4 linked regions of the Schizosaccharomyces pombe genome follow. Changing the gene in region 1 together with any one later gene gives a genetic interaction. Each region holds a gene or a part of one and is shown on either strand. Other genes may lie near its edges.

Evidence for each region.
Region 2: of sck1 (region 1) and hsp90, extra expression of one rescues a mutant of the other (dosage rescue), as found in Schizosaccharomyces pombe (one study listed by BioGRID).
Region 3: of sck1 (region 1) and git1, extra expression of one rescues a mutant of the other (dosage rescue), as found in Schizosaccharomyces pombe (one study listed by BioGRID).
Region 4: of sck1 (region 1) and git3, extra expression of one rescues a mutant of the other (dosage rescue), as found in Schizosaccharomyces pombe (2 studies listed by BioGRID, with this or other methods).

What each region holds. Positions count from the first base shown.
Region 1 is NC_003424.3:2,401,389-2,406,424, forward strand, and holds sck1 (serine/threonine protein kinase S6K family Sck1), read right to left. Parts: upstream 3,316-5,036; 5' UTR 3,219-3,315; coding exon 2,979-3,218; exon of another isoform or gene 2,863-2,978; coding exon 2,172-2,862; intron 2,123-2,171; coding exon 1,156-2,122; exon of another isoform or gene 1,106-1,155; coding exon 913-1,105; 3' UTR 628-912; downstream 1-627. Other genes in the region: nuclear import protein Nxt2, read right to left, coding at 53-135, 178-184. UniProt on the Schizosaccharomyces pombe protein: Protein kinase that is part of growth control pathway which is at least partially redundant with the cAMP pathway. Required for trehalase activation.
Region 2 is NC_003424.3:3,887,857-3,892,784, forward strand, and holds hsp90 (Hsp90 chaperone), read right to left. Parts: upstream 3,284-4,928; 5' UTR 3,033-3,283; coding exon 918-3,032; 3' UTR 702-917; downstream 1-701. Other genes in the region: myosin II regulatory light chain Rlc1, read left to right, coding at 1-268; diphthamide biosynthesis protein Dph4, read right to left, coding at 4,444-4,649, 4,689-4,902. UniProt on the Schizosaccharomyces pombe protein: Molecular chaperone that promotes the maturation, structural maintenance and proper regulation of specific target proteins involved for instance in cell cycle control and signal transduction. Undergoes a functional cycle that is linked to its ATPase activity.
Region 3 is NC_003423.3:3,830,648-3,837,145, reverse strand, and holds git1 (C2 domain protein Git1), read left to right. Parts: upstream 1-2,155; 5' UTR 2,156-2,652; coding exon 2,653-5,949; 3' UTR 5,950-5,961; downstream 5,962-6,498. Other genes in the region: splicing factor Cxr1, read left to right, coding at 1-1,303.
Region 4 is NC_003421.2:1,541,602-1,548,099, forward strand, and holds git3 (G-protein-coupled receptor Git3), read right to left. Parts: upstream 4,495-6,498; 5' UTR 2,981-4,494; coding exon 1,580-2,980; 3' UTR 732-1,579; downstream 1-731. Other genes in the region: single-stranded DNA-binding protein Ssb2, read right to left, coding at 1-60, 188-313; meiotic recombination protein Rec7, read right to left, coding at 6,287-6,498. UniProt on the Schizosaccharomyces pombe protein: G protein-coupled receptor (GPCR) that senses glucose and signals via the heterotrimeric G protein alpha subunit gpa2 to activate adenylate cyclase and PKA signaling, and suppress sexual development and gluconeogenesis.

The sequences.
Region 1 (5,036 bases):
GCTGCCCAGATAAATACACGTAGGATTAATTTCATAATTAGAAGTCGCATACGTATAGTGAAGAAAGTTGAGAACGATCGGAATCGAAAGTTTGGTAGTAAAATTGAGTGAACTGGGTCGCCAAAGCATTATAGTCTGCAGAGTATTAGCAATAAATCATACAAATTTTTATCTTACCAGCCATAATGAAAGATGGTGGTAAAAGGTAGACCTATTATTTCAAGTTCGAAAAATCGCGTCAAAAAAGATCGTACAGACACCTTAAGTAATTTAACGTAAAATGATACAACTCTTAATATGTAAAATAACATGATAAACTTATAGTTGTGTTATTTGGCAAAAGTCCTCTATTCGAATAGTATTGGCAATGGTAGAAAAACGAATTTGCAATAAGATTTGAAGGGGTTTTACTTCATGCAAACAACAGGATAGATGTTTATCCGTTCCTATTGAGACAAAATTTATGAGAAAAAATATGGTGCTAGCGTCTAACTAGTATCATGAACGAAATGGAACATAATATTTACTTGATTGTGAAGATTGCTTATTAAATGCTACATTCTTTTTTATAACGATGTATTTCACATTTTGCATAATTAATGCACCTTCAATCATAATTAAAAGAAAGCAACAAGTATTTGAGTTGGGATAAAAATGTAAAACTTAATCTATTAAATGTTCACATAATAAAATATGAAGATGACTACAAAATAGAACGTAACAAATAATAAAGGATAGAAGGAAACAAAAGCAAAACACCCACAGTTTGCTTTAATTCCTGGGTAAACTAGAAAACACGGAGCGAAGCCTTTGAGAGACAAAATAACTATAACGAAAGGGGAACATAATACATAATAAGTTATCTTCTATTGTGGATAATAGGAGACAAATTTTTTGATTGGAGCAAGCTTATCAAGCTTCGAACGTCTCGCCGAACACAGTATCTGCGACGGGATCGTTAGCATCCACCGTACGTGGATTCCCATGTGAATTTATTGAATTAACCGATGAATGGGTTGTTGTGCGACACGCATGTAAATTATCTGTCTCTTCGTTTTCTTGTAGTCCCAGGTTCTGAAACTGTTCATCAATGGACTTATTGACACTATAAAGTTTAAGGTTAGTTGATGGTCAAATATTTAAAAATAAACTTACAAAGTGAAACCACGAAATCTGTCCTGAATCGTGTTGGATAGAGGTGTCGAGGCATTAGCGGGATCAACATTGGAAACTATATTGATATTTTTCACATTAGTATTGGTAAACTCTTTATCAAAATTGGAAACATCCAGATCATTTTGAACATTCGGTTTAAAAGGCGGCTGAACCTTCTTCTTGCTAAGTAGGTCCCAATTTATGTCTGCAAAAAAAGGATGCTCTTTTAATTCAGTAGTGTCAGCAACTGCTCCTAAACGATGATTTGGATTGCGATTTAAAAGGCCTCGAACAAAGCTTCGACCCTCTGATGAAAGAACTCCTTTTGGAAAACGGACCTTTCCAAAGGCAATATTACGATACATTTGTTGGACGTCTGGAGCATAAAAGGGGCTCCATCCGCAGCACATCTCAAAGACAAGGACTCCTAAAGACCAGAAATCGACCTGTTTAGTATACCCCTTGTCCTCAAGTAAAACTTCAGGTGCCAAATATTCGGTGGTTCCACAAAAGGTATTAGTAGTTGCGTTAGCTGAAAGGTTTGCCTTAGACAAACCAAAATCGCAAAGAGCAATATGACCATCTGCATCTAATAGTATGTTTTCAGGCTTTAAATCTCGGTAAATAATATCATGTTTATGCAAATGTTCAAGAGCCAAAACAAGTTCGGCTATATAAAATTTAGCTCTTTGCTCAGGAAAGCGACCTTCATGTTGAAGATGCCAGAAAAGTTCGCCTCCACTCATATAATCAGTTATCAAATAAAGATCTGAAGCGGTCTGAAAGGAAAACTTTAAACCAACAATAAACGGAGATTCGTCTAATGAAGTCCTGACAAGTATATTCCTTTCGCCCAAGGTATGTGTAACCTCTTTTTTACGAACAATTAATTTTTTGGATATCTTTTTCATAGCATAAATCCGATTGGTATCGTTTTTACGGACCAAATAAACTTGCCCAAAAGTGCCTAAATAAAGTTAGTATACCGTAAATTTTTTAGCTTAAAGCAGCTTTACCTTTTCCGATTAAACGAAGGGCCGTAAAATCTTCTGGCCCATAACGAACATGTTCAATGTGCTCGTAAATTGTTTCCACTTTTATTTCACCCTCCAGAGACTTAGTTAAGTCAAGAGGCTCAAGCTTATACCATGCTTCCTGCACATATTCATGTAGGAAAATTGGTGTAATTTTAACGGAGCCCAAAAATTTATCGTCTTCATATTTGTCATATACAGATACAACCATTTGACTTTTCATTTTTGTCACATCAAATACAGTTTCAAAATCCCAATGAGGACAACGCACATCAGCCAACATTAGCTCAGAATGTAGTCCAGAAGAAGAACCGGAAGCAGATCCAGCAAGAGGACGGTTTTTAGAAGGAATGGAAATGGGTATCCCACCGTCAATGTCTTTAAAAGGAGGAGGTACCATAACCTGCGTTTTTTCAAAGGTGATTACTGCATAAGGTTGTGCATTAACACTTTTGACGTTCAAATCTCTACCTTGATGTAATCGAACATAAAGCCGTCCAAAAGCATGCTGACCATTTTTATCTTTTGGCACAACGGTATCATGCCTAATGTAACACGAAGATGGAGGTGTACGACTCTGTAGTAGTTTGGGTTTTTCTGAATATGTACCCATTGGTGTAATTCCATTGCTTTCGGAACTATTAGAACCAGATTCTTTATCTTCCTTTAAGGACTATGATAGGTTAGCCAAGTGAACAACAATTTATGGAGACAGTGATTTTTGAAAAACACAATAAAGAAAGCTATGGGGAAGATTGTCTTTCAAGCAAAAAATCAATTATAACATACCTGTTCTTTGTGAAGCTGAGCTGTAATCTCATTGTAACGCATCTTCATCCGATCCGACATGAAAACGGGATCATAGCCATTAGACGAAGCACCCTCTTTCCCTTCGTAATCGTTTACTTTCGTAGAATGGTCATTGGAAAGAACCGGTTGCGTTGAATGCGATTGTATTGTGGATGGCGATGCTTGATTTGTATTCTCAGAATTTGATGATCGATGCAATTTACCGAAAATTTCGGTCATTTTCAGCAAAAGCAATGATCAATCAAGAATCTTTTAATACTCTTTTAATGGAATCGGATTCCTCGTCTGGTGTTACTAATAATAGGGTGTGGTGTTTAAAGTTGGTTCGACCAGCAGGTGTTTCGCATATGTAACCTTCGCAATTCCCTTAATCGAAAAGTGTGGTAACATCCGGGAGTACGATATCTTAGCGAACGGATAGAAAATCCAGTATTTTTCGAACACTAATTCGTATTTTACTATGATTATATAGATGTATAATTTTAAATGGTTATAATATCAGAGGGGCGCCGCACTTCCATTTATCTATTTCTTAAGGGATTCAGGTAAGGGGGATGTATAACCCTAAACATTTGAAAAATTCCTTTGCAGTGTATTTTATTATTATGCACTTATTCTAAAAGCAGAAAAAGAAATTTATCGAGCAATTAATACGCTGTTGACTCAGAAATGTCTTGTGATTTTCAAAGGTTTGTCCAACGAAGGAGTATCGAAACAGAGTTCTCCGAATGGCTTAGTAGAAACTTCATGTATATTTATTTTAGCCTACATATACAAAAGAAATTAAAGCACATTACAACGTAATTTCGGAGAGCTCAAGCTATGAGATTTTCGACTGTTTAGTTTCGAGGAATACCTAGATAGTACCGAAAAATGCTACACTCTTTTTTTATAAACATTTATCAAATAATTTTTAATGCGTTGGCTGATGCCTTAACCAAAGGTCATACTAAATTTACCAGAAAAGTTTCTTTTTCTTTAATAAATCAATTGTAGTGTTTGAATGAATGAGCTTTAGTAGGATGTCCACTGGTCAATTAAAATTGTAACTTACTGACATACATTAGCAAATTTGGGCACAATTTCTAATTGTTATTTGCTTCTCATGGTTTCTGATATGCGTTTGATGCAAAATACTCGGGATTTTTGTATTTCGGCTGATTTAATTTTAATTTTAATTTTTTTTTATTTAAGTCTCTCTATACTCATTACTGTGGTCAATTATATTCCTTGAGTTTATTAAATCTTTTATTTACAGAGTACAATTAATTAAAATGGAGCCAAAAAAATAACCCTTGTTAAAAATTTTTTTAAACTGTTAATTCCCTCCCCAAAAAAAAGATTTAAAAGGAAAATGATTAAAAAAAACGAGAAATAAAATTTCATGTAAAAAGATAACTTTGTATAGTAATTTATATAATAAGAGCTAGTTTGTCATAGTTCACTGCTATTGTTTATTATTATTTTTTTTCATAGCACAGTATTTCAAATTAAATATCGTAAAAGACCATCAGAAATTACAAACAAAATAAGAAAATCATCGGTTAAATTAATGACATTCAAAGTACCACTTTTCGTTCCTCTGACAAACGTTGCTACGCAACCTTGATTAGCCGTACTAGCAAACCCATCTTAGTACTTTGTGGGGGCTTTCATTTTAATAACCACTGCTAAGCTGCTAGTGTTAGGCATAAAACCGATAATAAGGACCATGTGGGGGTCTTCCGCATAGGTTAAACAAACAGCTGCTGAGGCGAGGTTCAGGTTATCGTGGTGCTTTTCTACGTTAATTTATCAATACAAAATAGTTTAATTTCCAAAACAAAAGTCAAGAGATATCAGCTACAATTACATTAATGATATGCATCATCCAAAGTCAGTGTACAAACAATAGATTTACGCCCGACAAATAAACCGGTATATTTTAGAAGTTCATCATTTTGTATACAATCAGTTACTTCCAAAAAATTATTGATTAAATAAGTGTTTATAAAAGATTTTTCATAATTTCGTAGTACGGTCATTATTCTCAATTTC
Region 2 (4,928 bases), 1.5 Mb from region 1:
TATTAATTTAGCCGCTTTTCTCACTGCGATGGGTAGTATGCTGTGTCGAATCTCCCCCAGAAATGATCTACTAGAAGCGTTCTCTACATTCGATGATACTCAATCCGGCAAAATTCCAATTTCCACTATGAGAGATGCTTTGTCAAGTATGGGTGATAGAATGGATCCTCAAGAAGTCGAGTCTATTTTACGCTCGTACACCAGTCATGGTGTATTCTATTACGAGAAATTCGTTGATGCTATTGCTGGGTCAAAAGATAGCAATTGAGTTAAGAGCAGCCAGATATGTTTCACATTCTTCCCTCTAATACTTTATCTTTTTAACCTGAGCCATTTCCCTTAGACGAATTTTCCTCTTCTCTTTTAACTTTTTATGAAAGCATTTGATACATTTATGTTCGTTGTGACCTATACTTTATGTGTCTCAATACTTAGCTACTCTCTGCGACTTTACTATTATTTGCAGTGTTTAGTGAGTTAGAGCTTAGGCTTAATGTCATTAACCATATTTTCATTCGAGGGTTCAATTAATGTATGAATAAATCTATATTAGCCCAGCATACCTATGTTCCTCATCAAAATTATCCTACCTTGTAAAACAGCTCTCACATGACTAGAAAAAAATAACTTTTAAGCACCAACTTGTACTTGTTAGTAGTATAAACTACATTATTCGAAAACAAAATTTGATGTACTAATAAGTATCCATAAACTTTAATATTACTAATCAACATTCCATATTATAACAACTTCCAAACAACCTGTAATCTAGTGTGTATTAAGAAAAATCGTGTAGAAAGAAATTTTTGAATGACAACAGACACTAGAATCGTTAACAATGTATAGGATAACTTGCTTTAATCCAAGAAAAACATTATATGCATAAATTTTGGAAAGACACATTAGATGCATTTGATTTAATCGACTTCCTCCATCTTGCTCTCAGCATTGTTTTCAGCAGCGACGGATTCGGTAGAAATTTCCTCAATAGGAGCCTCCTCCTCTTCGTCAATGCTAAGACCAAGAGAAATAAGACGGTTGATACGTTGAGCATAAGCACTAGGGTCATCAAGAGTGAAACCAGAGGACAACAAGGCGGTCTCATACAAAATAGTAGCAAGATCCTTCACAGAGCGGTCTTCGGCACCATTCTCCTCAACCTTCTTCTTGAGCTCAGCAATGATGGGAGACTTGGGGTTAATCTCAAAAGTCTTGCGGCTAGACATATAGGCACTCATAGAAGTATCACGAAGGGCTTGAGCCTTCATGATACGTTCCATGTTAGCAGACCAACCATATTGACCGGTAGTTAACAAGCAAGGAGAACCAACAATCTTGTTAGAAACAACAACCTTTTCAACCTTGTCACCCAAAATGGTCTTAAGTTGCTTAGCAAACTCCTCATACTCTTTTTCGAGCTTCTCGCGAGCAGCCTTCTCCTCGTCAGTCTCTTCCAACTCAAGACCATCCTTAGTAATGTTAACCAATTTCTTGCCCTCGAATTCCTTGAGTTGAGTGACAGCGTACTCATCAATGGGGTCAACCATGAAGAGAACATCAAACTTCTTGGCACGGAAGATTTCCAAGAAGGGAGAGTTCTCAACGGCTTGCTTAGATTCACCAGTGATGAAATAAATGTTCTTTTGATGTTCGGGCATCTTAGTGATGTAGTCCTCAAGACTGATAAGATCATCAGGGGAGTTAAGGGAGTTGTAACGCAAAAGCTTGGCTAAAGCAGGGCGGTTAGCAGCATCCTCATGGATACCAAGCTTCAAATTCTTGCTGAAAGCATCGTAGAAAGTCTTGAAGTTCTCCTTGTCCTCGGCAATCTCGTTGAACATATCAAGACAACGACGGACAAGGTTCTTACGAATAACCTTCATGATCTTGTTTTGTTGAAGCATCTCACGAGACAAGTTCAAGGGCAAGTCCTCAGAATCAACAACACCCTTAATGAAACCCAACCATTCAGGAATCAACTCTTCACAGTCGTCGGTAATGAAAACACGGCGAACATAGAGCTTGATGTTGTTCTTCTTACGCTTGGCCTCAAAAAGGTCCATAGGAGCGCGGCGGGGGACGAAAAGAATGGCACGGAATTCCAATTGACCTTCAACGCTGAAGTGCTTGACGGCCAAATGGTCTTCCCAGTCGTTAGTCAAAGACTTGTAGAAAGAGGCATACTCTTCCTTGGTAACTTCACTGGGGTTGCGAGTCCAAATGGGCTTGGTCTTGTTCAACTCCTCAGTCTCAGTGGTGGTCTCCTTGACCTTCTTGGTCTTCTTCTCCTTCTTCTCAGATTCATCATCAACCTCCTCAATCTTAGGAGCCTTATCGTCTTCTTCATTCTTAACTTCTTCGGTCTCTTCTTCTTCAGGGACCTCCTTCTCAACCTCACGGGTAACAACTAATTGAATGGGGTAAGAGATGAACTCACTATGTTTCTTGACGGTATCTTTGATAGTCTTTTCCTCGAGGTATTGAAGTTGGTCTTCTTTCATGAAGAGACGAATCTCGGTACCACGTAACAAGCGAGGTCCATCGGTGTCCAAAGTGACGGTGAAGCTACCACCAGCAGAGGATTCCCAGATGTATTGCTCATCGTCATTATGCTTACTTACGACTTGGACCTTGTCGGCAACCAAGTATGCAGAGTAGAAACCAACACCGAATTGACCAATCATGGAGATATCAGCACCAGAAGCAGCAGCTTCCATAAACTGCTTAGTACCAGACTTGGCGATAACACCAAGGTTGTTGATAAGGTCATTCTTGGTCATACCAATACCGGTATCGCGAATGCTAAGGATTTTGTTCTCCTTGTCAGGAGTAATGCGAATGAAAAGATCCTTCTCAGCGTCTAAGGCATGAGGATCGGAAAGGCTTTGATAACGAATTTTGTCCAAGGCATCGGAAGCGTTGGAAATAAGCTCACGAAGGAAAATTTCCTTGTTAGAATAAACAGTGTTGATGATTAAAGACATCAACTGGCTGATTTCAGCCTCAAACTTGAAAGTTTCTGTGTTCGACATTTTGTAATGAAATCAAATTGAAAACGAAAACAAAGAAAAATGAAGGAATTTATAGATAAAACCGGTTAAGTCGTACAGTTCGTAATATAAAGGGTAAAATAAGTAATTAAATATACTTTTATTACTTGAAAAGGGGTTTTCTTCTCAGCTATAACGTGATTTTAAATATGTTCAAACGTATGAACAATCTTTTAAGCGTTCAACAAAGGAACTTAGTGGGAAATGGGTTATAAATAACTTGAGAGCTAGATGGCGGAGGGTACGTGTATGGTGGTTTATATTCTGTAAACAAAGCAACTCGAACATTCCAAAACCCTAACCCTGGTTTTTGGTGGAAGGACATGGAACTCAAAGAATAGTGCGGATGCAACGAAGTGTGGTATTTGGATTGCGATAGAAGGTTGGGGTGAGAAAAAAAATTTCTCACTAAAGTGTATCTAGAAGATGCTAGAGGGAAGATAGTGTATTGCGTAAAATTACGAACAACCAATATTCGGAAACATCCTTACACTGTGATAAGCTCATAAGGTTTTACTGTAGCGAAAGGTTTTTTCGTTAAGCATCGTTGAAGGGTGATAAAATCGGCATCTCGCTAACGTTCACTGTTCATAACCGACCGTTTTTAGGTTAGCTAAACGAGATCGATCATTTAAAGTGTTTAACTGTATCTTATCTAGATGATGGGAACTTCATAAATTCCAAGTGAGTGATATTTCTTCAAATTTCTTTTGCACGCAATTAGAATACATATTAAAAATAATGTTCCGAAAAAGAGGCCTACAGCACCCCGGATTCCCATGTTGTCTCCAACCATAGTACTAACGAGGCCCTCAGACGCTTAACTGCAGTGATCGGACGGGAACTGGTGTTTTCGCCTAGGTATGGCCGTAGACATTTGTTACATAAATTTATAGAATATATAATAAAGAACAGAATATGTAATATTTCTCAAAATCGAACAGAATTTAGCAAATACCATTTCATAAACTTGTACTGTATTTGTTTACATCGTTAAACACCCAATCCTTCGCATTTGCATAAAACTTACTTGACAAGACGAAACGCATCCGATACTACTTCGGTATGTGCGTCGCTTGCATAAATTTCGCTACAGCCATGTCACCTATCGAATACAAATTATTATTGAAACATTCCAGCAGTTTTTACAGTACTCAAATTTTAGTAAAAAGGCTATTAATAATATCTCAGCAATAAATTCTTTGTATATAAATAAATCAAAAGTGATTCTCCGCCATAAATTTTCAAAGGTAATTAACCGTTCATTTAAGGACTCTTTTGAAACTTCCAAATTATTTACAGCTGCAATTAGTCTATATTATTATACAATCCTTAGCAAGAGAGACTAGCCTTGCCTTCTCTCAACAAATACTTGGCCTCCCTTTAAAAGATATCATGAGTCGGATTCCGCGATTTCATAATCTACTTGTATAGTTAGAGAGCAACCCATGCATGGGACGACACTTCTGTTATTTTCCAGGTCGTCTTCCGTGACAACATATCCTCCTAAATCGCCGCATCGGCAAGGATAATAATAGGAGCCGTTGTCGAGTTCTTCAAATTCACTTAGATCAACGATAGAGTAGTAATGCGAGCTTTCTGTTTAGATTAATAAAAAAACCTTCAAAACAAAATTACCCTCTTCTTGTTTTATTTGATATTGCTGACGATCTTTTTCACTTGAAAGGACTTGATATGCTTCTTTCACTTGATCAATAGTATACACCACAGAGGGCTTTTCTTTACACTTATCCGGGTGAAACAGTAGTAACGCTTTTCTATAAGCTTCTTTTATTTCATCGTCTGTGTAAGTTTTTCCATCTTTGAGGTTTAGAACCGAATAGTGGTTCATGAGGATACAGCACACTTATGTCGTTC
Region 3 (6,498 bases), on another chromosome or scaffold:
ACAAGATGACCAAGAAGTGGACAATGATTATAAATCAAATGATGAACCCGTACAATCTCAAGATCCGATTTCTCCAAATATGGCATCCAACGAATCTGGAAATTCCGAAAATACTAGCAACTATGGCTCATCAAGAGATGAAAACGTCTATCAAAAAACGACGCTTTGGATGGGTGAATTAGAGCCTTGGGTTACTGAAGCATTTATCCAGCAAGTTTGGAATACTTTAGGAAAGGCAGTCAAAGTAAAGCTTATTCGTAACAGGTACACAGGCATGAATGCTGGCTATTGTTTTGTCGAATTCGCATCTCCTCATGAAGCTTCAAGCGCGATGAGTATGAACAACAAACCAATTCCTGGTACAAATCATTTGTTTAAACTTAATTGGGCCTCTGGAGGCGGATTACGTGAAAAGTCTATTTCAAAGGCCTCAGAATATTCCATATTTGTGGGAGACTTGTCACCCAATGTCAATGAGTTTGATGTGTATTCTCTCTTCGCATCTCGATATAACTCATGCAAGTCGGCCAAAATCATGACTGATCCTCAAACAAATGTGTCAAGAGGATATGGTTTTGTCCGTTTTACGGACGAAAATGATCAGAAATCTGCATTGGCAGAAATGCAGGGTCAAATTTGTGGTGATCGTCCTATTCGGGTGGGATTAGCCACTCCTAAAAGTAAGGCTCATGTTTTTAGTCCTGTGAACGTTGTACCTGTTAGTATGCCACCAGTTGGATTTTATAGTGCTGCACAGCCTGTTCCTCAGTTTGCTGACACAGCAAACTCAACCGTATTTGTTGGCGGTCTCTCAAAATTTGTTTCTGAAGAGGAGCTTAAGTATCTTTTTCAAAATTTTGGAGAAATTGTTTATGTCAAAATTCCACCTGGAAAAGGTTGTGGATTTGTGCAATTTGTCAACCGACAGTCTGCTGAAATTGCTATCAATCAGTTGCAGGGTTATCCTTTGGGCAATTCTCGTATCCGATTATCTTGGGGAAGGAATCAGAATCCAATTGCGGCTCCTGCCTTGAATTATCAGTCTCAGGTTTCACAAACTACTATTCCTGCTACCTCATTATTTCCGGCAATGAGTTTACCACCCCAGGCTCAGTTTAGTCCATATCCGGCTGTTGCACCTTCCCCCTTAGCCCTGCAAACGAGGGGTGCACCGATTGGCATGGAAATTTCGATTGGATCTCCTGCCCTCGTACCTGATCAAATGCATATTCCTGAAAACGGCAACTCTGATACCATGCCTGTTCCTAACACACAAGGAAAGCATTTATCAGCTGAAGAGTAATGTAAAAGTACTTGCGATTGAATTTTTTATAATGGCATGTCTCATACTTTTTATCATCATTCTTGGTTTTTATAAAGTATGAATAATTTTCCATCTATTCTAATAAGTTTGATGTTCATAATGAATCACGGAGAATTATTGTTTCGAGAAACGTGAGAGTTCTTGTAAACTCTATCTGTTATTTTGGACGTTAAATCAAGAGAGTCCCTTAGCATAATTGATTAATAAGCATTTTACATGTGTTCATGAATTCGAATTATCGAAGAAAAGCTTGAACTAAATTTTTGTTGGACATAGCTTCATTACGTTTCCTTTCTAAGGATTGACGGTTTTTATATTCATCTCTCCCTGTTTATGATATGAAATGCTACGTTTTTTTAGCCGAAATTTTCATTTGTCATGATTTTTATAGTCAAGAAAAAGGTTTTCATACGACGTATATAAAAGATTAAATTTAATAGTAATGATGGACTTCAGAATTATCGCACTGAGATTTTTAGGTCGCTGGAGAATGCAGTTTAGGCAAGGTATGTAAGTGCTTATTGAGATTTCCCATTGATAAACAACTTTTAAGTTGCTTCTGGTTTAATCATTCGTTCTTTTAGGTATGAGTTTAGTTAAATGATCAGCGCCATTTTCAAAACATTTCATTCAACCAAAAATCAACCGCCTCTAAATTCAATTTTATTTGAATGATACTCCCTATTTATCGAAAAATCCATTCAATTAAAATCTATTATTAACTTTTCATCCATTTAAATCTACTCCATTTTTAAAGCTCTTGTTTACAGAGTAACAACGCGACTTGCAACTTCTACTACGCCAGGGGGGCGACTGTCGCAATAAACAACTGACAGAAAACGCACTTATAGTATAGGCTCAAAATCTTTTTAAATCGTAGCCTTTCCCATTAATACGAATACATCATCAAATTCAGTTTTGCGATTAAGTATAAACGGGCTTAACTCGTGCGTTTATATACTTTGTCAACGCTGTGATTAGTATTCAACCTTTGACGTTACACTTTATTAACCTGGCTCGATACTCTTAAATAAGACTCTGGAAAGCGACAATTCTTATAATTAATTTTATTTTTTATTTTTTAACCTGTGAAAAAGTTTTAATCTCTAGACCTGGAACGATCATTAACATAATTGTGTACACATTATTGAAATCCAGCTTATAAATGAATTTTGATCTACTAAATAATTTACTCACCGATCCAAAGAAGCAGACAACATAAACCATCACCTATCGCTATTTTTACCTTCATCCATTAAATAACACCTTCATACATTCCGAACACCAGGTTTTTGCACTCTCTACTCAGCAAATCGGAAAGGCTTAAAATGGGATTCACTAGTGTTGAACCCCCAGATTTTTTTGATTGGACTGCCAGAGCTATATTTTTATTATCGACATTACGCAGTCGCAGAAATGCTAAGCAAATTGAGCGTGAAAATGCGCTTTTGGATCAAATCAAGGAGCTTTTAAGTATTGCCATTATTCAGTGTCATGAAAGAAATATTCCTTCGATAGATCTTCCCCCGTCTTTTTTCAATTATGTTTGTGAACAGCTACCCAGGCACCCTTTTGCTAAGATAGCTTCGAGCTACATAGATACGCATACTTTATTTTTTCAAATATCTATCAGCTCATTTTTATGCCGATTTTCAAACTGCTCAGAAGACGAGATCAGGCTTTTTAAGCAGCACCAGTCCCTTGATAGTTTTTTACTATCCTTGTTTGACCTCCTTTGTAGTCACCACTTTTCCGTTGAATTTACGTCCATATCACTAATTATCAAATCTTCGCAGTGGTTATTTTATACATTATCCGATTATGCTCATGAATCCTTAACAGGCGTTGAGGCTGATATTACAACGAAATTTCTTTCCACCCTAGCTGATACTTGGCCAGAATTCGAAGAGCAGTGTACTCTTAGCAAACATCTTTTTCTTTTAGGTGACTTTTCGCTAATCAGCTATGTAAAAGTTTTATGTGGTGTATTTAATATCCCTAACTACAATGCCTTCATTCTAAGTGTCGAGGATCTACTTCCGGAAAATATATCCTTTGCCGCCGTTGCTGATTTTCAGTTATCAAAGTATAGGGCAATTAACGACAATTCTGTATTAAGAAGTGACGATTTCTCATCAAAAGCTGTGTTCGACAAATACGTTGAAAGGGAGTGTTATTACTCAGAAAATGCTATTAGTAAAATTTTTCAAAACTATCCTGATTTGGCTGTCCTTTTTGAAGAACTACAATATGCCGAGGGAAACAATGATCTTCTATCTGCGATTTTGAATACCAATAAATATACTTTGAGACCTGATGATTGTGCTCCATACTTTTATCGTTTAATGGATTTGTGCTTACGTTATTGTTATAGCCAAAGTAATGAAATTGGTACCAACGTTTTATGGAGCATGACTACAAGTTTCATCAACATTTGGCGTATTCATCCTGGAACATGTTGTTGCGTGGTCTTAAGTATATATTGGCCTTATCTTGAGGATAAACTCCTAAAGTTTTCGGACCTTGGAGATATTTTTGAATACTTCTTTTCTTTAATTCATGATTGTGATTATGCGATTTGGTCAGTCCATGACGAACACCAATTTTCGGAGTTATTGGCGTTTTATCATAGAAGAGCTTTAAATGACTTAGTAGAAGAATTGGGGAGCTGTCCTCGTTCTAGTGATTCTTGCCGAGCTATCCTTGATATCCTTAATAATTACATCTTTTCATGTCCGCTTTTTCTGGTAACCCCTGAAGAACTAGAAGAGCAATACACCGACTTTTTTAAAAAACTGAAAGAAAAATATGGGGAGTTTTTCCAGAATCTACTGAAGAAAGAACTGACTGGGAAGCCTGAATCAGATCTCGAAGGGCTTCGATTAGTGGGTGTCCAATTGCAAGCCACTTACGAAAACTTGAAGTCGAATTTTAGTGCTAGAATATTTAACCAGCTTTCGGTTCACTCATTTTTTGCAGAAGCAACATGTCACTTGTTTCTTGAGAAATTACCTACCATTACCAAAACTTATGTATACTCAAATTGCAAAGAAATTCCAGATCATATCCTTGAAATGATCAATGCTCTATACCAGCAAACTCGCGCTTTAGTGGCTTGCACCGGATACCTATCGTCGGACTACCCGAAAATTTATGAAGCTTTTAGCGGTACCTTTGTATATAGAAATTTGTCGCTGATAATCGACAAGGGCTTGGCTAATGTGTTGCAAACAGTCCTAAGAGAGTCTTTCATTCCTAAGAGATCCAGATTTTATTCAGATTCAACTAAAATGATTCTTGCTCCTTTGCAGGACTGTTATGATTTTCTGCAGAAAATAGATTGGCCAAGTTCCAAAGATGCAAATCGTTTTTATTTGCATCTTGGAAAACTTAGTGAAAACTACATTCATTACTACGTTGACAGCATGTATGCATTGTTTATTTATAGTACCGATATACCATTGAAAGCAGAACCTTTAGTTCCTGATCTTCCGGTGAAGCAGCTTAAAGAAAAAGCTAGTCATTTTAAAAGACATTCTGGGGACCCAAATTTTTTGAAGCTGTATAGGGAATCATTCACCCTAATCAATACCGTCAGTTTAGTGAGTGGTTGGTTAAAAATGCTGCATCAAAGGATTGATTATAAAATATTGACAGAGAAGGTAATGCACTTTAAAGATATGGAAGTACCATCTGCGACTGTTATAATTTCCATTAAGATGGCCCATCTTTTGGTAACCCCAAAGGCCCCATATTCATTCTCTGTTTTGCTCCAAGATCCTGAGTCGGAATTTTGTGTACATACTCGAGATGTTTATGACGAGCTAGTTCCCAATTGGAAAGAAACGTATCAGATGGAGATTACAAACGTAAAGCGTTTTAAATTAATTATATATCAGAGGAATATACACACTGGATTGGAGACTGTATATGGTCATGCAACACTAGAAGTTGATCCCGACAAACTTAAGCAAGGCCACGGAAAAGATGTTTGGCTTGATATCACTAATAAGGGACAAATTTTGATTGGGTTGCGTGTGCTCTTGAAGAGGGAAACACCAAATTATTACTGCTTTGCCCAAATGGAATACCTTACCGTTACTGAAGTAAAAATGCTAAATGTACTGATGATTTCTCTAAGTAAATTTATTCGAAATTCCTTAAGAAATAGTGGGTTAATGGATTTCGTGCGTTATCTTGATGGAGACGAAAATGATAACGCAGAGGCTGAGACTAAAGAAAAGATGGACGAGTTGCAGGCCCGGTGTGAAAAAGAGCAGCAGTCATTGTTGGCAGAGCTAGATGATTTTTTTTATTGGATTTATGTAAACTTGCTCCCGAAACCTCTTTTTTACTTGCTTTCGCGGCTTTGGTTTGGCTTGTTGGAGACATTTCGAGATATTTTAGTGCCTCCAGTCACAGATTCTACCCTAAGGAGAATTCCGTTGAATAAGCGTGAACTCAAAATGGTCTATTCGTGGTTACAATTGTTTTACGATTTTTTTCGGAATTTTCAAGATATTGCGCCATTTGATTTTTTGAATACCGATGAGTACAAAAGTGTGATGGCTATTAAAGACTATTATTTTGTAAAGTCTAAGGATGTCAAAAGAGTGAGTAGTTAGTTAACTACGGTAATGATGGAGACTTCTATTAATGTTTATTAATTTACTGAACGATACTTTTAATTTAATGAGCACAGTTGCTAATTTATTTTATATATATACAAATATGTATGTCATACGTCTATCATAAAGTCGCGTGTATTAGTTGCTAGGCTGAAATTATTTATTAAGCAGCTAGCTTATAACACTGCATTGTACACAAGAATAATGCTGAAAGCTAAAAATTAAGTTATGCTTACGATGATTACGCATTTTCTACAAAAATGAAACACACCATACAACCATAACAACAGGTTACAACAAAAGTCATAAATACATTTCTATGTAAACAAAAACAGATTTTTTTTAACGTAAAGCATACACATAACCGCACAGCCTTTAGAACGTCCAAACCATAAAAGCAAGTTATAATCATACATAAACATAACAAATGCCTTTAAGTCCCTTAGATAAGACACAAACATTAACCCTTGACTCAATGTCAGAGGCAATAGGAGATTAAAGTCGAATAATTACCAAAGGAACGGGAAAGGATTCCAAAAATTGCCA
Region 4 (6,498 bases), on another chromosome or scaffold:
AGAGGCATTGAGAATTTGCTTAATGGTAACAGGACGTAATTTATTTCCAGCTCCTTGTTGCTAAACATTGGAAAAATTAGTATTAGATATTTTTATGAATAAGGTCAGTGCTAGTACAAAACTATCAACCAAAAAGTATCACCTTGCGGTTATTCAAACAATAGTTTTAGTATTTTATCCCACTTACTCTATCGACGCTGGGCTGGCTCGATTGATCATATTCATTAAATCCAGCGCCTCCTCCCATTCCTGGAGAAAAAGCGCTATTGAAGTCGGGACCATAGCCCGGCTTGCCAAAAGCATCATAAGCCATGAGCACGTATTATCTCAAATTATGAAAGTTTGTTAGGGTGAATTAAAGAGCGATGAAAAAGCAAATCAACCACTTAAAAATATATCTGCGATCTTTTAGAGAGTGATTTTTAAATAATTGAATATAAAGTTACAGCTGATTCCACGAGTAGTCTACTTTTCAGTGGTGTGTTTAGTACAAGTTACGAGTCGCGTTTCGCGGTGGTGTACCGAAAAGAATAAAATCAAGCAAGCGTGCTTATATACTACAATGTAATAAAATTAACTGTTTTATTTAGAAAACCATCTTACATCTACTTTTTTTCTCTATAACCGTATAGTTTTCAATACAAAAACCTACTAATCACGGGATGCTCAATTGACTTAAAACGCTTAAAGCAATCAGATACTGTGCTACCATTCTGCTTTACCAAATGTAAAGAAAAACTAAAAAATACATTATTAAATTTGTAAACATTAACACATTCATATGTAACAAGAAGGCATGGAACAAATGTCCGACGCAATTTTACAAATCGTATAGGAAGAAAAGCGATTTATCCACAACAAAAGAATAGCTAATGGTGAATGACTATTCGCACATCGACATATACAAAATAAGAACATAAACGTATTGCTATGCACAATCCATCCATTTTATGTATTGAGGAAATATAGTATTGGGGACATAAATTTTGAATATAGTTTTGAAGACAGATGCTTAATGCAAGCAGTAAAATGTAAGAGCATCTGAAAAATGAAAACGAGTGAATGATAGTTGGTAAAGCTGAACATAAACATTCTATATAAGGAAGAATTGTTTAGGCGACTAAGCGTTCCAAAAATGAATTCCCCGAGATGAATAGAAAACTGTCATAGACACAGTACATATATATACATCGATAATTGTGAGCGGCCTTATCAATTTGAAGCAGCCAAGCTTTAAACCATCTTCCAATCCGAGCCTTTTGCCAAGTTAAGTAGTGCCAAAATTTAATACTTCGAAATAAATTCTGGGAAGCGAAAATTAAAGTATGACATATATTAGAGGTGATGCAAAAATGGGAGATATTAAAATATTAGTTGGTTTACCACAGTTGTTTCCATTCACATTCCATTGTCATTCACTGGATGGCTTTAACAAAAAAGGAAGACATATGAATGCAAAGGCTATGAGAAAATTTTAAGAAGTAAAGTGATAATAAAATCGTCATAAAAAGAAATTATAATACAAGAAGAGGAGCTTGTGAGACTTCACCATAAACAAAAATAAAAAGAACAAATCCTTCTATTTTTCCTCACCAAATTTACCCCGCCACCATTTTAAAGTCAACTCCTTTATTTGATCCCAATAACTTTTACTCGAATCTCTTTCCTTCAAATACGTGTAGCCACGATAACAAATCCAAATAAAATCTGACAAGGCAATAAAGATGGCAACGAAGTTGTCTGCAAAGACTGCAACAAATGCGAATCGTTTGCATGAACCAGAGCAGTGCAACGGTTGGGCAAGTATAACGATAATCTGTATTTGAGGGAGAATCCACATAAAGATAAAAATTGCAGGATAAGCAAACAAAAACTTAGACTGACTTAAAATGCGTTTCCGTTGTTTAAGGAGGGGATCATCTTGCATATCATTTCCATATGCAGCCAAAACACTAGAAGCACCATCTTCGTCACTAGTCAATGGACTACTGAGTTTAAAACTCGTGTGATCTTCAAGGCCATTTGTGCGATTTGGACTATCCCTAAAATCCTGTTCGAAATGTATTCCTGATTGATTTAGATTAGCAGGAGTAGACTGCGAACCAGGAGGCAAATTAGGATGCACAGAGGATAGTAACGGTCTCGAATAGGGAGAAGGTTGAGACTGCGAGGAGTAAATGGATTGAGAATTAGATGGAGTATATGTTAAAGTACTGTTGGTGTCGGGAAATGGTGGAAGAGCTACTTGATCCGGAGCGGTAGGATACGAATCAATGACATTTAAAGTATCAAACACATTTGTTTGTTGATGTGAGTATTTCTTGAAACGTTTGATTTTCCTTCTGATCGAGATGAACATGCAAGTTTGTAAAGCAATAATTGCAATACTTAGCGCATAATCAAATGACCAATTCAAACCAAACATGAATCGTACAGGGGTATAGGGAAGGTAGCATCGGGTTTGTAAATTGACAAATGTATTTCTTTTATTGGTAAAAGCAAGTCCGCCAATAGTTAAAGGAATTACAAATGACAGTGTAAACACAGTATGCCGAAAACGATATAGACCCCTTCGTTCAGTATCAACATGGGGGAAAAGCACCAAAAGAGCATTATGCAATATGTTGATAAAAATCCAATAATCAGTCATCCGAACAAGTACCAAAAGAAAAAATCCAATTGTAAAGCATCGATGTTTTGGAGCCCAAAAAAAAGGATCGCTTAATGCTAGACATGGATGAATCATTTGCACAATGGAACGAATAAACAATACAGAAAAAAGAGCGATATGAAATTGTTCACGTATTGTTCGCCGACGAGACCATCGCCAGAAGATAGCAATTAAGCTGAAAACGATAGATATGGCTGAAGCTATAATGACCATGATTCTCAGGTTAGCTAACTCTCTGCGAGAGACAATGATGATGGAACTCGTACTCGTGGCATCGGAAACATTAAACGTATAATCTAAATGAAGCATGAGCAACCTTGTTCCTTATTACAAAGTTTAAACTTCTCTTCAAGAAGACAGGAAAAAAAAAGAGAGGAGAGGAGGTGAGAAAGTAAAAAACAAGAAAAGCAATATCAGAACGAAAAACAAAAAAAAAGACAAAAAAAAAAGGAATACTCCAAAGACAAATCTATGACTTCAGAAATGTTCAAATAGACAAACAAGAAAGCAAAACAGAATTTTCAGCCACTTGGGTAATCAGTCCTATTACCCTTAAGAAGTGCAAAAAATAGTATATCTCGTATATCCAATTACCCAAGATTGCATATCTGACCCTCGATTTTCTATAAATTGCTTCGTTCGCGAATATAAACAGTCTCTTCAAGTTGATGTAAAAAACTTAGCAAACTGGCAATATAGAAGGAGCTCTCTAAACTAAACGAGTTTGTTTCGAATATGAATTTGAATTCCCGTACTTTTATTTTTGTTTCTGTTTTCTTTTTTCCAAAAACAAGCTTCTCGTCTTTACTTTTCAATTAACTCAACTATTCTTTCGAAAGTTGTAGACACACGATTAAACTGTTAAAGGTAAAAGTTGAAATAGTAAATCTACTGCTTTTTCCTTTAATCGTGGCCGACGAAGCAGCTCAAAAGTGATAAACGAATGCAACCAGGAAAGCCGGACGCAAAACGGTGCCGACGATTATTAATAAAGCGCAGTCCCGTCTCGACACTCTTGGCAAGAAGAAAAGCGCAATTGACGTGAACAACCAACGATGTATTGTGCTTATAAAGAAAGCACTAGTGAAGTCACTTAGAGCTCAAAGCCACTTATGCACGTTTTGCAAGGCTCTTAATAGCGTGGCGAACCTTCTTAAGGATATTGAAGAATAGGGAAATCGGAGGCGGTATGGCTTGCAATTAACGCCGTACAGTGAATAAAGCGGTACTAAATCAAATCGGTGAAATTTACCGATAATTAAGGAAAAGACAAATCAATTGAAGGCGCCGTGGTTTGGGTTGGCTGATGGAGTTGGCTTGATTATAAGTAATGATGGCGGAGAGTTGCCGCCTTTGCTGTTGTGTATGAGTGTGTAGTGAATATGCACAAATATACCTCAACGACTAATGGATAAGGTGTTATAGCAAGTACAGTAGTTAAGTACCAATGCGGGATTTTTCTGAAAAAATATGCAAGCACACGGGCTTGACAGAAACACAAGAGGAGACAAATAAACCAAAGTCTCCGCACCTTAAGTCCACAGAAGAAGAATAAAAAAAAAGATCGCAATTGAATTATGTGAGGGGGCCCAGGCGTCAATAGTACAGAGTCGATTGACTAAGTAGATTTAAGATCACAAGCTGTAGAGCAAATCAGAAATTTGCACCTACGCAGAGACAATGAACAATTGTAATTTCAGAAAAAAAAATATCGACAACGATTCAAATTCCGAGTAATTTTCTAGCAAGACTATTGAAGAAAAAATTTCCCTAATCCCTTGATGAGCCTTGTCGCACTAACACAATATCGGCGATGCTTTCACACTCCTAGATGTGCTACCACCAACCATTATAACTTATGAAAAAAATTTGTAGTATCGCTGTAAACGAAATTTTTGTGTAAGAATGACGAGAGTTGTTTTTGCACAGACAAACGAGGTTCGGACGATCGGCCTATTTTTTAAGTACGATAGTGATTAGTATAGTATATCGTGAGGAGCAAATACAATCGCATAAAAAAAATCAGGGTGAAAAGAATCATTTCAGAGTGCGTTAATGAGAAAGTCCTCGTTATAAAAGAAAAAAAGGAACCGATGATTTAAAGTTATTGATGGTTTTAAAAAACAGCGTTTATTTTTACAGTGTTTAAAGTCAAGTCAATATTAGGCACAAGAAGAGGTCACACTTTATTTTCAAAAGAAAATGGATGAAATGCAACTCCATGCGTTGCGATAAGCGTTAAACACCAATCTAGGAAGCAGTCCCTCAACAGAAATGAAGCGAAAATCGAATGATGGTGAGAATAGAATAATAAAACGAGCCCCGGTAAATTGAAAGTTGATAGAATCAAGTTTCAATTAGGGGTAATGAAAACGTGCTTAAAAATAGGGAGTAATGTTGTAGTTACCAAAATGAACAATTCGGACCAGACCAATAAATATTGTCGAAATAAAACAAGGAGTGTTAAATTTTATTATTATGTCTTTATTCTCCTTGGAAACCGGTTCGTCCACGTGAAGAGAATTCTATTAGCATTGTCGAAACCGTTTGATCCGGTTATGCCTTCATATCTTTGAAAACATTTCCGCCAATTCCACCAAGTGAAAATCACAATATCGTTAGTCGGTATTGTCTTTAGGTTTACTAGCGGGGGCGTTTTTGTTTTGAGGAAAAAAGAATATTCTCTGGTTTCCATCTACCTTAAGTGCCGATTAGGCAGATAAGCTAGATTAAGTGAAATGGGAAACGGGATTCATTTTCCATTGACAACACTTTTAAACATTATTTGATAATTCGCATGCAACCCTTCAAAGTCGATTCGACATTTTAAGGTTTACTTCACGGACATTGAAATCATTGTGAAGCTTTGTAGACTGTTGTCTCTCTCGGAAGTACCCAAAAAAAAAAAAAAAATCCTTTTTACACTCATAACGTTCTAGCTGTTTCATCCCTTTAAAAAATATCATGTTTTTTTTTTGGTGCTCGGAACATTTACTTTCTCCACTTGGTTCGTCTATTTTTGAAGTTAAACTAACTATTTGACCATTTTCGTACTTAATGTCATGAACTCCTCTCGTGGATTGTTAAGTCAATTATCAAAACCAACCACCAACTCAATTTTAACCGTTGTAACCTGACCCATTATTAACACTAGTATTCATGCTGTACTTGCGGCAATTCCCCCATCAAAAAGTTTTCAGAGTTGTCTTTTGATACCGATTATGTGTCGTGGTGGAGGCTTACACCCCAAGGATCGGAACGGGATCTTCTCAATTTGATTTTAATGCTCTGCATGGACAAGCCTAAGGGAAAAGAGTCATGCAACAAGTAGAGAAATTTATTTCAACATTGTTGTGTTGGCGGTTTCTGTTTGCTAATCCTCAGCAACGATCATATGCAGTTGAGATCTCGACCAACTTTTCGTTAAATAATGTCAAAATTTGCAACAAATGTTTTATCACGGTACTCGAAGAATGTGAACTTAATGAAGTTTCTCATTTGGTTGCCAAATTGTGGTCACACATCAATTTTGTCGAAATAACCATTCCGATCCTGATTTCGTTCCATTTTTACTACTTTTTTAAATTTGGGATTAAGTTGAATTGGTCTGTCTTCCTACATCTTGTTCCATACCCGTTCCAAACTTTGACATAATTGGATGAAGCTGTCTTGTTTTAGATAGAATAATACCTTGGAGCGTAATTGCTTTTCCTCTTCAGTAAGTTCTGTTGGTAGGATTTGTGAAGTCGTTGGGGGTGATGGAATCAAATTTGCGTATGCTTGGTTCTCCGGTTGAGCAACCCACGAAGCCTGTGTCTGAGAGTTCA